Linked DNA regions of Xenopus tropicalis. The protein of the gene in region 1 binds, or shares a complex with, the protein of each later gene. Links are inferred from orthologs where the notes say so. Each region holds a gene or a part of one and is shown on either strand. Other genes may lie near its edges.

The links.
Region 2: the proteins of xpo1 (region 1) and pkia are in contact, whole or in part, in an NMR structure (PDB 2L1L), measured with the Homo sapiens proteins. The link is inferred for Xenopus tropicalis from reciprocal best matches to the Homo sapiens genes XPO1 and PKIA. Residues at the interface, in NP_003391.1 of Homo sapiens: Val518, Lys522, Leu525, Cys528, Glu529, Lys534, Lys537, Ala538, Ala541, Ile544, Phe554, His558, Lys560, Phe561, Thr564, Lys568, Phe572, Glu575, Thr576, Val580; in NP_006814.1 of Homo sapiens: Asn36, Leu38, Ala39, Lys41, Leu42, Ala43, Gly44, Leu45, Asp46, Ile47, Asn48, Glu51.
Region 3: xpo1 (region 1) and xpo5 share a complex: the UniProt entries of both Homo sapiens proteins name them as parts of the nuclear export receptor complex. The link is inferred for Xenopus tropicalis from reciprocal best matches to the Homo sapiens genes XPO1 and XPO5.

The regions. Positions count from the first base shown.
Region 1 is NC_030681.2:33,543,368-33,547,408, reverse strand, and holds the start of xpo1 (exportin-1), read right to left. Parts: upstream 2,866-4,041; 5' UTR 2,639-2,865; exon of another isoform or gene 2,114-2,638; intron 1-2,113. UniProt on the Homo sapiens protein: Mediates the nuclear export of cellular proteins (cargos) bearing a leucine-rich nuclear export signal (NES) and of RNAs.
Region 2 is NC_030682.2:123,166,188-123,170,503, reverse strand, and holds the start of pkia (cAMP-dependent protein kinase inhibitor alpha), read right to left. Parts: upstream 2,837-4,316; 5' UTR 2,713-2,836; intron 1-2,712. UniProt on the Homo sapiens protein: Extremely potent competitive inhibitor of cAMP-dependent protein kinase activity, this protein interacts with the catalytic subunit of the enzyme after the cAMP-induced dissociation of its regulatory chains.
Region 3 is NC_030681.2:2,540,437-2,544,556, reverse strand, and holds the start of xpo5 (exportin 5), read right to left. Parts: upstream 2,836-4,120; 5' UTR 2,792-2,835; coding exon 2,576-2,791; intron 773-2,575; coding exon 651-772; intron 1-650. UniProt on the Homo sapiens protein: Mediates the nuclear export of proteins bearing a double-stranded RNA binding domain (dsRBD) and double-stranded RNAs (cargos). XPO5 in the nucleus binds cooperatively to the RNA and to the GTPase Ran in its active GTP-bound form.

The DNA.
Region 1 (4,041 bases):
GATTCCTGGTATACATTTCTAAACCTGGTAGCTCTGCAGTACTTTGTCTTAAACTAAACGTGAAGGAGACTTTAAATACACCTATTATATAACCTGAATGTTAGAGCAAGCTTAAAGCTTACTCTGGTAATTCAAAATCTGAAGATCATAGAGCATAATGCAACTGTTCAAAGATGGCCACATTACATAAACACTCCTGTACTGGCTTTGCATTGGCAAAACACTTTACAACAAAAAACACTATACAACAAAAAGTGTATCAACTAAATTTCAAATTAGTTACATTATTTGCACGAACATACAATGTTCTACTTAATGACATAATTTTAGGAAATGTAGCTGTACAGATAAACCAGAAGTGCCAATACACTACAGGCAGGATGTAAAGGCATAGCATGCCTTAATTCCATTCCACTTAAGGCATTAAAGCAATATTTCCTACAGCATAAAAACTAGTTTAGCTTGTAGTTCTTAGTTATACTTTCAGTATTGGTAAACATCTCCTTTGCTCATTCACACATGACAAGGCAGCAGTGTTCTCAACAAGCACTATAAGCACTCGGGACCAAAGGCCACACAACTCCATTTCAGCTATAAAATTCTTAAAGCACAAGTTAAAAATGTTGAAGCAAAAGAAAAAAAAAAATCCACACATTACAATGCTAAGACAAAAGTATGATAGTTCACAAACTGAGTAGCATAGGCAGTATTTTTCATACAATCAGTTTAGGATGTGAACGATTCACTGTACAATACATTCTAGCAACATGAAAGGCTCACAGGGTCAAATATAAAGGCAATCATCCGGGTAGTAGTAGTAAAAGCCCTGCGCTATAGTGAGTCCATGTCATACATAGCAGCCTCTCCCAGCTGCCCCTCCCTCCTCAGCACGTGACATTCACAGACCTCTCCATACTATACACTAATATTTCTGGAAATTTCCACTCTACCAAGAACTGACTAAAAGAAAAGAAAAAAAACAGGAGCCCCAGTAAGTCGGACTGTGTCACCTAGATGAATACCTACTCCCCAAAGCACACCTACATTGCAACGGAAGTCCCCTTGAGACATGAGGCCTACTCATCCATGCCTTGTTAAGAGGAGGAGGAGGATTCATTCAAACAGAGGGGGCTGATCCGTCTCACTCATTTCACCCCCCCCCCCCCCCCTTTTGGTTTTTTGGGATAATAGCATGGGCCATGTAACTCATACATTCTAAAGGAGGGAGAATCACATTTTTCTCTTTACTGAAGTATTCACTAAACCTACGTGGACACACTTCATGCAGAATTACACAAACCAGTCTAAACAGTAGAAGAGGGGGCTAACACACAACAGGCACACTTATTAGATACACAATGGTGTAAATACTTTGTTTCTTTTTTTGAGGGGGGGCAGTCACATGGAGATCAGTAGCTGGTTTTGGTACTGGCAACAGCAAAACAGCTTTCATGGAAAAAGCAGGAGTAAAAGATAAAACTACCATTTTTTATCCGATTACTTCCCAAAACCAGTAACAGCAACATTATTGCAAGATAAAAAAACATCATGGATCTTACATGCTGAAGATTTTCCCAGACTACAACTCAAAGCTTGCATCCAAAACATTAAAACAACAACAATAACATAATTTTGAAAGCAAAGCAGAACCCTAAAGTAACCAATAACTATGTTAAAGTCTTTGAAGCTGAATGAGAAAAAGGTAGGTGTAACAAGGCAAGCTGCTGCACTCCAGTTCCCAGCATTCCCTGACAGCCAGAGCTCAGGTGAAAGAGAAAAGAACCCTTGTTACAACACATAAAGGATCTGCTTAAAAATTGGTTCTTCAAGTCTGTAGTTAAAAGAAAAAATAAGTTATCATTCCTAAACATGTTACAGCTTTATCAACTCTTTAATAAACAAATCATTTACACTCTTGTTTTCTCTCATACGTTTGTAGGGCGACCCAATGAGTTGGGTGAACCAACACTGCAGTCCTAAAGCTGTTCTTTAACTAGTTCTCACTTTCCCATCTGTGAGTTATAGTTCAACAACAGTTTCTGAGCTACATCTTGCACACACTCAGCAGAGCCCTTACACACACCAGCTAGGGCCTCATCCCAGTTGCACTTACCGAGAGCGGGGAGCTGCCTTCTCCTCAGCACAATACGAGAGAATGGGGCTGAACCACTTGAAGTAAAGGGGGAGCAGGAGGGTGACGGCTCAAACTGTATTTTGTTATTTTTCAGTAATCCACCAGAATATTCCCCCACAACGAATGATACACTTCTTACCAGTAGCGCACCCCCAGACACATGTACATGCGTGGGGCTGTGTATGGGCGGGTTACCCTTTCTCAGTAAGAATTTTACCACTCAAACGTATTGCTGCTTTATTGCCTTGGCAAAAAAAAAGGAATATAAATAATAATGTGTCCCAGTGAATGAGGGACACGGCCCAAAAGCAATGAGATGAAGGGGAAGCAGGATTAGATCCGTAGGCCCAGGCAGGGGGCTTGCTCTTCACACCCACTGGAGGAGGAAAATGTAAATACTGGGGGTGTAATTAATGGACGGGCTTGCTTTTTCACTGCTGGCGCTAGTAGTCCTCAGTCGGGGCCCTTGCACATTGTACAGGACGAAATCCTTTCTGTTGCTACCTGTTGTTTAGCCCTCCAACGTAAACGCGCGGAGCAGCAGGGCTTGGAGGCTGGAAAGAGGCGCTTCTTCAGCTCTAATGCCACACACTAACAACCGGCTGAAACCGGTTCAGACTGGGACATTCCATCTCCGTTGAGTTCTCAAGCCCATGGCGCCGCCGAGCGTTTGGAAACCTGTGCAACTCCTCCCAGCAGAGCGCCTGATTGGCCCAGGTCTGTTCGCGTGAATTCGGCTATTGGTCGGGGGTGGCGTCCGTCAATGTCTGCTTGAGCCGCCCCTTTTCTCTTTTTTATTTTTTTTTAAGGCCTTTGCCGCGAAGTGCCTGTGGAAGGCGGAGTGGGATGGAGCGATGACGATGTAGGGATGCTATTGAATTTTGATTGGTGGAGAAAGGATGCCAGTCAAGGGGCAAGGTTTGGTTACCGTAGAAACAGGACCAGTTTCCCCGCCAATGTGCTGTTTGAGTTCAATGCAGTGCGTAAGGCGAGCAGAAGTCGTGTTGTTAACGTTTTGTTTTCCTTCTTTGGGAGCTGCTTAAAGTAAATCAATGGCATTACTGCGCCATGTGAGGGTGGGTTTTTTTTTTTTGCTTAAACGCTTCAGGCTTTTTGCCTTTATTCGTTATTATATTTTATGTGTAATAGCAGATGTGGATTAGCAATACATGCATCAGATTCAGTAGGTCAAATCCTTCTAGTCAGGGAGCACAAAACAATAGAAAATCAGAAATAATGGTGGGTCAAAAAAGGCCTTATGCATTTGGACCATGTTGCAAATTTTAACTAAACCTTTGAGATCCTGGGAAAAGCAATATGTTTTGCGGTGCTGTGCAATAAATTGGTTTATATACTGGACAAACATACTGAAGCCGGCCATACACACAGCGCTATTGACATTCGGTGCCTGTATGGCGGCTCAAACAGGCAACCGATCTCGCAAAAGGCTGCAGATATTGAAGGCGCCCAAGTAAAATCTACATTCAGGGCTGAATTGGCAGGTGGAGGTTGAACATCCATTGTTTCTACCTCCATATCTGATGATTCAGCCCTGAACGTCAGTGGAGGGTGGGAACAATCTTTCGTGTGACCAATGTAGGGATGAAGATTCCATTAAAATAAATGGCAGGCTTAACAGCTTACAGTCAGATGCTTTTCACCTGCTGTTAAACACTGGCAAAGTAGACACTTCCATGTGCCATAGGCCTAACAGAACTCCTGAAGGGTCTCTGCTTTAGGGCCACAAGGACTTTTGCCGGATGATATCAGATCGTCAAAACGCATCCAACAAGTTGACTGTAGTCATCTGGATCAAAATATAATGAGGTTGATACAAAAATCTAATGTGTAAATTACATGTAAACTTTTGGCATCCACTGCGACACGCCTGTTGGAAGGGAATGCTG
Region 2 (4,316 bases), on another chromosome or scaffold:
CAAATGATGCAAAAAGAGAAGAGCTGTTTTGCCGCTGGATTTTAGCATATCAAGATGGAACTTATTCATACATTTGAAGGAACAGGTTACAGTGATAGGTGTATTAGGAGTTTCTGTGTTTTGTGGGGCTCTTTAACAAATATTGGTTCAAAAGTTCCTCTTTAAATGCTTTACAGACCTTACTGTAAGACATCATCATTTTAATTGAATCTGGCCCTTGAACATGCTATATGAGAAATACTTGGCCCAGTACATTGAATTAGTTGGACAGCACTGCAGTAAACCATGGCTATGGATCAGCAGTGATTGGAGACCAGTCTAGTGCAGTGAGAATGATAAGAGCAAATTTCTGGTTGCTGTGGGATACATGACTATAACAAATATCGCTCATGTTATTGTAATAATCACCAGGGTTACTGTACTCCACTTACACTTTTGTGTCAATAACTCATTTCATGATTTTTCCTTTCCAAGAACTCAATTTGCTATTAATTTGTAGACTGGAAAATAGAAGGTCTTTGTACAAAATGAAAAGTTATTTCACACACGCCATGGTGTGCACTCTAAAGGTGCCCATACACGTTAAGATCCGCTCGCTTGGTGAGGTCGCCAAGCGAGCAGATCTTCTCCCGATATCCCCACCTACAGGTGGGCGATATCGGGAAAATGTAGGCTAATTTGATGGGGGGGGCCAAACGATCGAATTCTAATGGCGGAAATGGCACAGTCGGTTCGGGGACCGCATCAACGAGCCAATGCGGTCCCTGATCCGACTAAATCTTTTAGCCTGCCCGATCGATATCTGGGCAATTTCAGGGCAGATATCAGTCGGGCAGGCCCGTCGTTAGTGCCTCTACACGAGCTGATAAGCTACCGAATCGGTCCAAGGGACTGATATCAGCAGCTACAATTGGCCCGTGTATGGCCACCTTAAGAAACACCAAATAACTTATAGAAGCCATAGGTTTTACTGGCTAAAAGAATCCCAGGACACCAATTAACTTTTTAAGTGCCTTGTTTCCTAACCTTGGGTCCCTAAATGTTACTGAACTACAACTCCTAGGATGCATTAAACCATTTTAACATGTTAGTTAATGCTGGGAGCTGTAGTCCAGCAATATCTAGGGACCCAAGGTTAAGAAACAGGGCCCTACTTGCTAGGCCAGTGCAAACTGGCAATTCAGGGATTTATTGTGTTATTGTATAATAACTTTATATATATATTATATTATATATAATATTATAACATTGTATGTAATTAAAGGGCTTTTTTAAGTTAAATAACGCTTTGATCTTTCTTCATATGAAAAATAGTTGGAATGATTTAGTGTATCCATATGTTTTAATTTCCTTGCAGAGCCAGATTATGCACAAGGTTCCCCAGATTCCTACCCAGGGCCCCAGTACTCCAGTACTCCAGGGGCAGCAGCAAGGCAATAATGTGGGGACAGTGGAAGTTTGAGCCCCCAAATCACTACAGTTCTTGAGTCCTTAACCTGATCTTAATCCATCTCAGAATGTGAGATACATTTCATATAAACCTTGCTCCTTAATCAACGCTGTGTAATCCCCAATCTCTAAGACTAGTCATTTAATCCATACAACTAAACACTAAAGACACTGAAGCAGATAATACCAGATACCCAATGTTTTTCTCAGAAACATTTGGTTGTTTTGTCTATGAAGATTTTCATTCATCCAGGTCATGGTATATCTAGTATAAATAAATTTAAAGCAACTGGACTACCAAACAAGTCCAGTAGCTTTAAATTTATTTATACTAGATATTTGGTTGTTTTCATTATACAGGTATCGGACCCCGTTATCCAGAAAGCTCCGAATTACGGAATGCCCGTCTCCCATAGACTCCATTTTAATCAAATAATTCAGAATTTTAAAACTGATTTCCTTTTTCTATGTAGAAATAAAACAGAACCTTGTAATTGATTCCAACTAAGATATAATTAATCCTTATTGGATGCAAAACAATCCTATTGGGTTTAATTAATGTTTTATTGATTTTTTAGTAGACTTAAGGTATTGAGATCCAAATTACGGAAAGACCCCTTATCCGGAATACCCTTGGTCCCGAGCATTCTGGATAATGGGTCCTATACCTGTATTACCTTTTTGGCATGAACAGTTATGTTATTTAAGAAGATGGCAGATGCTGTTGCTTGGCAACAATGCATGGCCTACTTGGTACCCTCTTTATGGACAAATAGCTCTTAGGAATGTTCCTGCTGTACTCATGCTGCAAACAGGGACATTGTATGGGCTCAATAATTAATCATCAACCAAATGGACTGAGATTTCTGCTTAGTTCTTTTCCTACAGTACACGGACCCCTACTGTTTTATGTCAATTACCAGGAGCAGAGGCAAAAGACTTGTAATTTCCGATACACCTCATTTTCCTCCCTGAGAAACAACCGCTGCTTCCTATTGTGCTTTTTATATGACTGCAAGTGACAAATGGCAATTAGAGCATCACAGGGCTTGCTAAACATTAAACAAAGGATGCTTTTTTTTATCCCTAGGTCATGGCAAGCTCTGTCGTGGTCATTCTGCCAGTCTCTCTAGGAGAGCGGCTCTGATTTCCCACTCTCTGAATGTGCCTGTGACACAAGCTGTTTTAAACAAAAAGTCCATCAGCCATTTCCTTTAGCTGCAGCAAATTATATATCAGATGCAAGAAAAAAAGGAATCTTACCTTCTTTCTCTTCTGCCACAGAAATGTCCAGCACAGCAGGGTTCCTCCGTTGTGCTGTAATATTGCTCAGCTGCTGCTGCAAAGGCTCGATTACGCGATATTAAGAGGCAGATGCTGTGAGCGTTCCTCGGCCAGACAGCAGCTGCTGATTCTGTTTTTTTGGAGGCTTTTGTCACGCCTGTCTACAGCTCTCTCTTTTTTTCTTCATATAACTTTATTGGTATGGATTAGGAAATTGAATCAACTGGGAAAAGGTTTCTTGCATTATCTGCATGCCTGGGATATATGTGCACTAGAAATTTCCTAAGCCAATAACAAAGCAGGGCATGAAGGATAAGTGTGTACACATAATTCCACTGTTGGCTGCTGTAATGGGTTCTTTGTATTCTTTGGAATTCTTTGCAGTGGCAGGAATTTCAGTGCAGTTGTTTTTCTAGATATAGATATAAATTTCCAAATCCAGGTATTTTTTTAATGTGGGAGATACCTGCAAAGTTTGAATGAGAAAATTCACTTGATAGAATAATTTTTTCTATGAGCCATTAAAGTGATACTGACACTAAAAAACTACTTTTCAAAATATTAATGTACAATGAAAGTTACCTATAGGTCATGCTAATGCTGCTTTTGTAAGTACAGGTATAAGACCTGTAACACCTATTTGGCTATAAAATGGCCAACCCAGGCTAGTAATAGGTATAGAGCATGTGTTACATGCGACCTTAATACACAGGAGTGGGCCTCCGCTATATGGGAGGTATTAATGGAGCTGAGGGTGTAGTTGAACTACAACTAGGTAAGAGCTTGTGTGGTGCAGATGGAATAATGGACGCCAGAAAGGTTCTTGCTCATGAACTATAGTACAATTTATTGGACAAAGGCACAGCTTAATAGTGCAGCAGGGTATACTCACAGACACAGCAGTATAGAATGTGTGATCACCGTGGAATATACAAAGGTGACACTTAGGCACAGAATAACCCACTTGGAGGATGCACAGAGGATTAGTTGACACCTGAGATATAGACCTTTCAGAAGGGAGTGTTCCGGCCGACTGTGGTCCAGGGGAGAGCTCCTAACACTGGTACCTGGCGTCTAATAAAACCGGTCCCTAAAGAACGACTACAGAGCCGGGGTGGACTAAACCCTTTGTTACAACTCCTGGTTGGGGCTATTGACTGCCCTTGCTAAATAGTCTGACTACAATCACCTCTCCTAGAGGGTGCTATAAATGAAACTGACTGTGCTGGCTTTACCTCGTTCACGGGGCCCTGTCCCCGACTTATCACTAGGGTAGGTGGTCCCCTAGGGTACAAATGGCTTCTGGGCCTATGTTCTGGTCCAGGCTCAGTTGGGATCTGTCCAGAACACAGCATGCAGCCAAAAGAGGAAGACACTCCCTTGAGCAAGATACTATATAGTCTGCCAAGGGGAGTGGTCAACCTGGGCTAAACCTATAGAGGGCAGCCTAATAACAGTAACCTGATATCAGAGGGCTCTGCCCTATAACAATACAGATTAGATAAGAATAAGGGATAACACCATAGGGAGCTTAACCCTATGGGTCCCTACAGACCCATTATCCAGAATGTTCGGGACCAAGG
Region 3 (4,120 bases), about 31 Mb from region 1:
AGCTTACAATCTAAGGTCCCTATCACATTCCCATCAGTCCCTGCCCCAGTGAGCTTACAATCTAAGGTCCCTATCCCATTCCCATCAGCCCCTGCCCCAGTGAGCTTACAATCTAAGGTCCCTATCACATTCCCATCAGCCCCTGCCCCAGTGAGCTTACAATCTAAGGCCCCTATCACATTCCCATCAGTCCCTGCCCCAGTGAGCTTACAATCTAAGGTCCCTATCCCATTCCCATCAGTCCCTGCCCCAGTGAGCTTACAATCTAAGGTCCCTATCACATTCCGATCAGTCCCTGCCCCAGTGAGCTTACAATCTAAGGTCCCTATCACATTCCCATCAGTCCCTGCCCCAGTGAGCTTACAATCTAAGGCCCCTATCCCATTCCCATCAGCCCCTGCCCCAGTGAGCTTACAATCTAAGGCCCCTATCACATTCACACAAACACTAGTGCCAATTTAATCAGGAGCCAATTAACCTGTCTGTTTGTTGTGGGAAACTAGAAGGGCTCAAGTTGATTGGAGGGAACAGAAAATCCATTCATACATTTGGACCTTTCCCATGGACCCAGTAACCATTAGTACGGTACCGAGACAGCGGCGGCGGCAGAAGGGAGAGCACAGACGGGGCAGAGAGAGACTGCTGCTTACTTTATAACATGCTCCAAGACGTGCAGGCCGAAGTGCCGGACGCAGGGGGAATGGCTCCGGTTGGACAGCTGCAGGCCACAGGGCACACAGAGGGGGCTTCTCTCCTTGAACTCCTCGCAGAACTGGGGGGGCAGCAGAGAAAAGAATAAACCTCAGTAACCGGGGGGTGGGGGGGGGGGTGGGGATATATGTTTATAAATAAAATCAGTAAAAGTGACAAATATAATTCCAGACCCCCATCCCAAACAGGACTGGGCCAGACCCCATGCTGCCCTGCTAGCCGTACCTGGGAATAAAGTGCAGCGGCCATGTCTGCCCCTACATGTTCCTCCCAGCTGTCAGGGGGCCAGGATAGAGTGGCCCTTACTGCCTGGCACTCACCCCCAGGCCTGGGCAACAACTGCCAAACCCTCTGTGCAGCACTTCATTATCAGGGGCAGCACTGGGGCAGTATGGGAGGGGGGCCTGTAAGGGTAAATGCTGACTAAATAACAATAGATTCTGTGTGTGAGTGAATGAATGAATGAGTGTGTGAATGAGGGTGAGTAAGAGTGAGTGTAAGTGAGAGTGTAAGTGTGTGTGAGTGAGTGTGTGAGTGTAAGTGTGTGTGAGAGTGAGTGTATGAGGGTGAGTAAGAATGAGAGTGTGAGAGTGAGTGTGAGAGAGTGGGTGAGACTGAGTGTGAGTGAGTGAGAGAGTGAGTGAGTGAGGGTGAGTGTGAGAGTGTGTGTGAGAGTGAGTGAGTGGGTGAGACTGAGTGTGAGAGTGAGTGAGAGAGAGTGAGTGTGAGTGAGGGTGAGTGAGTGTGTGGGTGAGTGTGAGTGAGTGAGTGTGAGAGGGAGAGTGAGGGTGAGTGTGAGAGAGTGAGTGAGTGGGTGAGACTGAGTGTGAGAGTGAGTGAGAGTGAGTGAGTGTGAGTGTGAGAGTGTGGGTGAGACTGAGTGTGAGTGAGTGAGTGTGAGAGGGAGAGTGAGGGTGAGTGTGAGAGAGTGAGTGAGTGGGTGAGACTGAGTGTGAGAGTGAGTGAGTGAGAGTGAGGGAGAGTGAGGGTGAGAGTGAGGGTGAGTGAGTGTGTGAGTGTAAGTGAGTGGGTGAGTGTGAGTGTGTGAGAGTGAGTGTAAGTGAGTGTGTGAGAGTGAGTGTAAGTGAGTGAGTGAGTGTGAGTGTGTGAGAGTGAGTGTAAGTGAGTGAGTGGGTGGGTGTGAGTGGGTGAGTGTGAGTGAGTGAGTGTGTGAGTGGGTGAGTGTGAGTGTGTGAGGGTGAGTGAGTGTGAGTGGGTGAGACTGAGTGTGAGAGTGAGTGAGTGTGTGAGAGTGAGGGAGAGTGAGGGTGAGTGTGAGTGAGTGTGAGAGTGAGTGGGTGAGACTGAGTGTGAGAGTGAGTGAGTGTGTGAGTGTGTGAGTGTAAGTGAGTGGGTGAGTGTGTGAGAGTGAGTGTAAGTGAGTGGGTGAGTGTGTGAGAGTGAGTGTAAGTGAGTGGGTGAGTGTGAGTGTGTGAGAGTGAGTGTAAGTGAGTGAGTGGGTGAGTGTGTGAGAGTGAGTGTAAGTGAGTGGGTGAGTGTGTGAGAGTGAGTGTAAGTGAGTGAGTGGGTGAGTGTGTGAGAGTGAGTGTAAGTGAGTGGGTGAGTGTGAGTGTGTGAGAGTGAGTGTAAGTGAGTGAGTGGGTGGGTGTGAGTGGGTGAGTGTGAGAGTGGGTGAGTGTGTGAGGGTGAGTGAGTGTGTGAGACTGAGTGTGAGGGTGAGTGAGTGAGTGGGTGAGTGTGAGTGAGTGTGAGTGTGTGAGTGAGTGAGTGGTTGGTCTCACTGCCCCACAAACCTTGCACACTGTTCCCTCAGCCCCTAATACCCCCCTTTCCTACCTGCCCCTGTATATAACCCCACGTTACCCCATCCCCCCAGTCCCCATTACCCAGCCGGTACCGGTACCTTGAGCGCTTCCAGGCGATATTCCTGACGGGACTCGGGCTCCAACATAACAGTGACCGCCCGGACAAGCTGCTCGCACAGAGCCGGTACCTGCTCGTCCATCGCTGGAGACTGAGGCTCCCAAGCTCCCCGCTCTCTCAGTCTCTCAGTGTGTGAGGAACCAGCAGCCCCACTGCGCCTGCGCCCCCAGTCTACGGCATGGGAGCCCTCACGCATGCGCACTCAGTCCCAGCGCCCTCACTGCGCATGCTCCAAACTACACGCGTCTCTCCGCAACGTCATTTCCTCCCGGGCACACGGGATTGCTTTACGGCTGCTCATTAAGCGATTGCGGCTCAATCTACGGCTCTTCCTAGTGACTGTACCGCGCATGCGCTAATGACTTACTGAGATTTCTGCTGCTGGGAAATAGAGTTCCCCGGAACTGTACGGGAGCCTGATAGGGTCAGGGCATTGGTACTAACTGTAAGCACTCACCTATAGTGTCTGTGGGAAATGCGCTATAGGCTACGTACAGAAGCAACTGCTGGAAATTAACAGCGTTAGGGGCCCAACAAAGGGTGAATATATACTGTTTTATGGTATCTCTCTGTACAGGCTATGGGCAAGCTTAGGGGGCTGTTCCTGCTGAATTGTGCTTAGTACAGGGGAATCCCTATGTGCCATAGTTTTATGGTATCTCTCTGTACAGGCTATGAGCAAACTTAGGGGGCTGTTCCTGCTGAATTGTGCTTAGTACAGGGGAATCCCTATGTGCCATAGTTTTATGGTATCTCTCTGTACAGGCTATGGGCAAACTTAGGGGGCTGTTCCTGCTGAATTGTGCTTAGTACAGGGGAATCCCTATGTGCCATAGTTTTATGGTATCTCTCTGTACAGGCTATGGGCAAACTTAGGGGGCTGTTCCTGCTGAATTGTGCTTAGTACAGGGGAATCCCTATGTGCCATAGTTTTATGGTATCTCTCTGTACAGGCTATGAGCAAACTTAGGGGGCTGTTCCTGCTGAATTGTGCTTAGTACAGGGGAATCCCTATGTGCCATAGTTTTATGGTATCTCTCTGTACAGGCTATGAGCAAACTTAGGGGGCTGTTCCTGCTGAATTGTGCTTAGTACAGGGGAATCCCTATGTGCCATAGTTTTATGGTATCTCTCTGTACAGGCTATGAGCAAACTTAGGGGGCTGTTCCTGCTGAATTGTGCTTAGTACAGGGGAATCCCTATGCTGCCATAGTTTTATGGTATCTCTCTGTACAGGCTATGGGCAAACTTAGGGGGCTGTTCCTGCTGAATTGTGCTTAGTACAGGGGAATCCCTATGTGCCATAGTTTTATGGTATCTCTCTGTACAGGCTATGAGCAAACTTAGGGGGCTGTTCCTGCTGAATTGTGCTTAGTACAGGGGAATCCCTATGTGCCATAGTTTTACGGTATCTCTCTGTACAGGCTATGGGCAAACTTAGGGGGCTGCTCCTGCTGAATTGTGCTTAGTACAGGGGAATCCCTATGTGCCATAGTTTTACAGTATCTCTCTGTACAGGCTATGG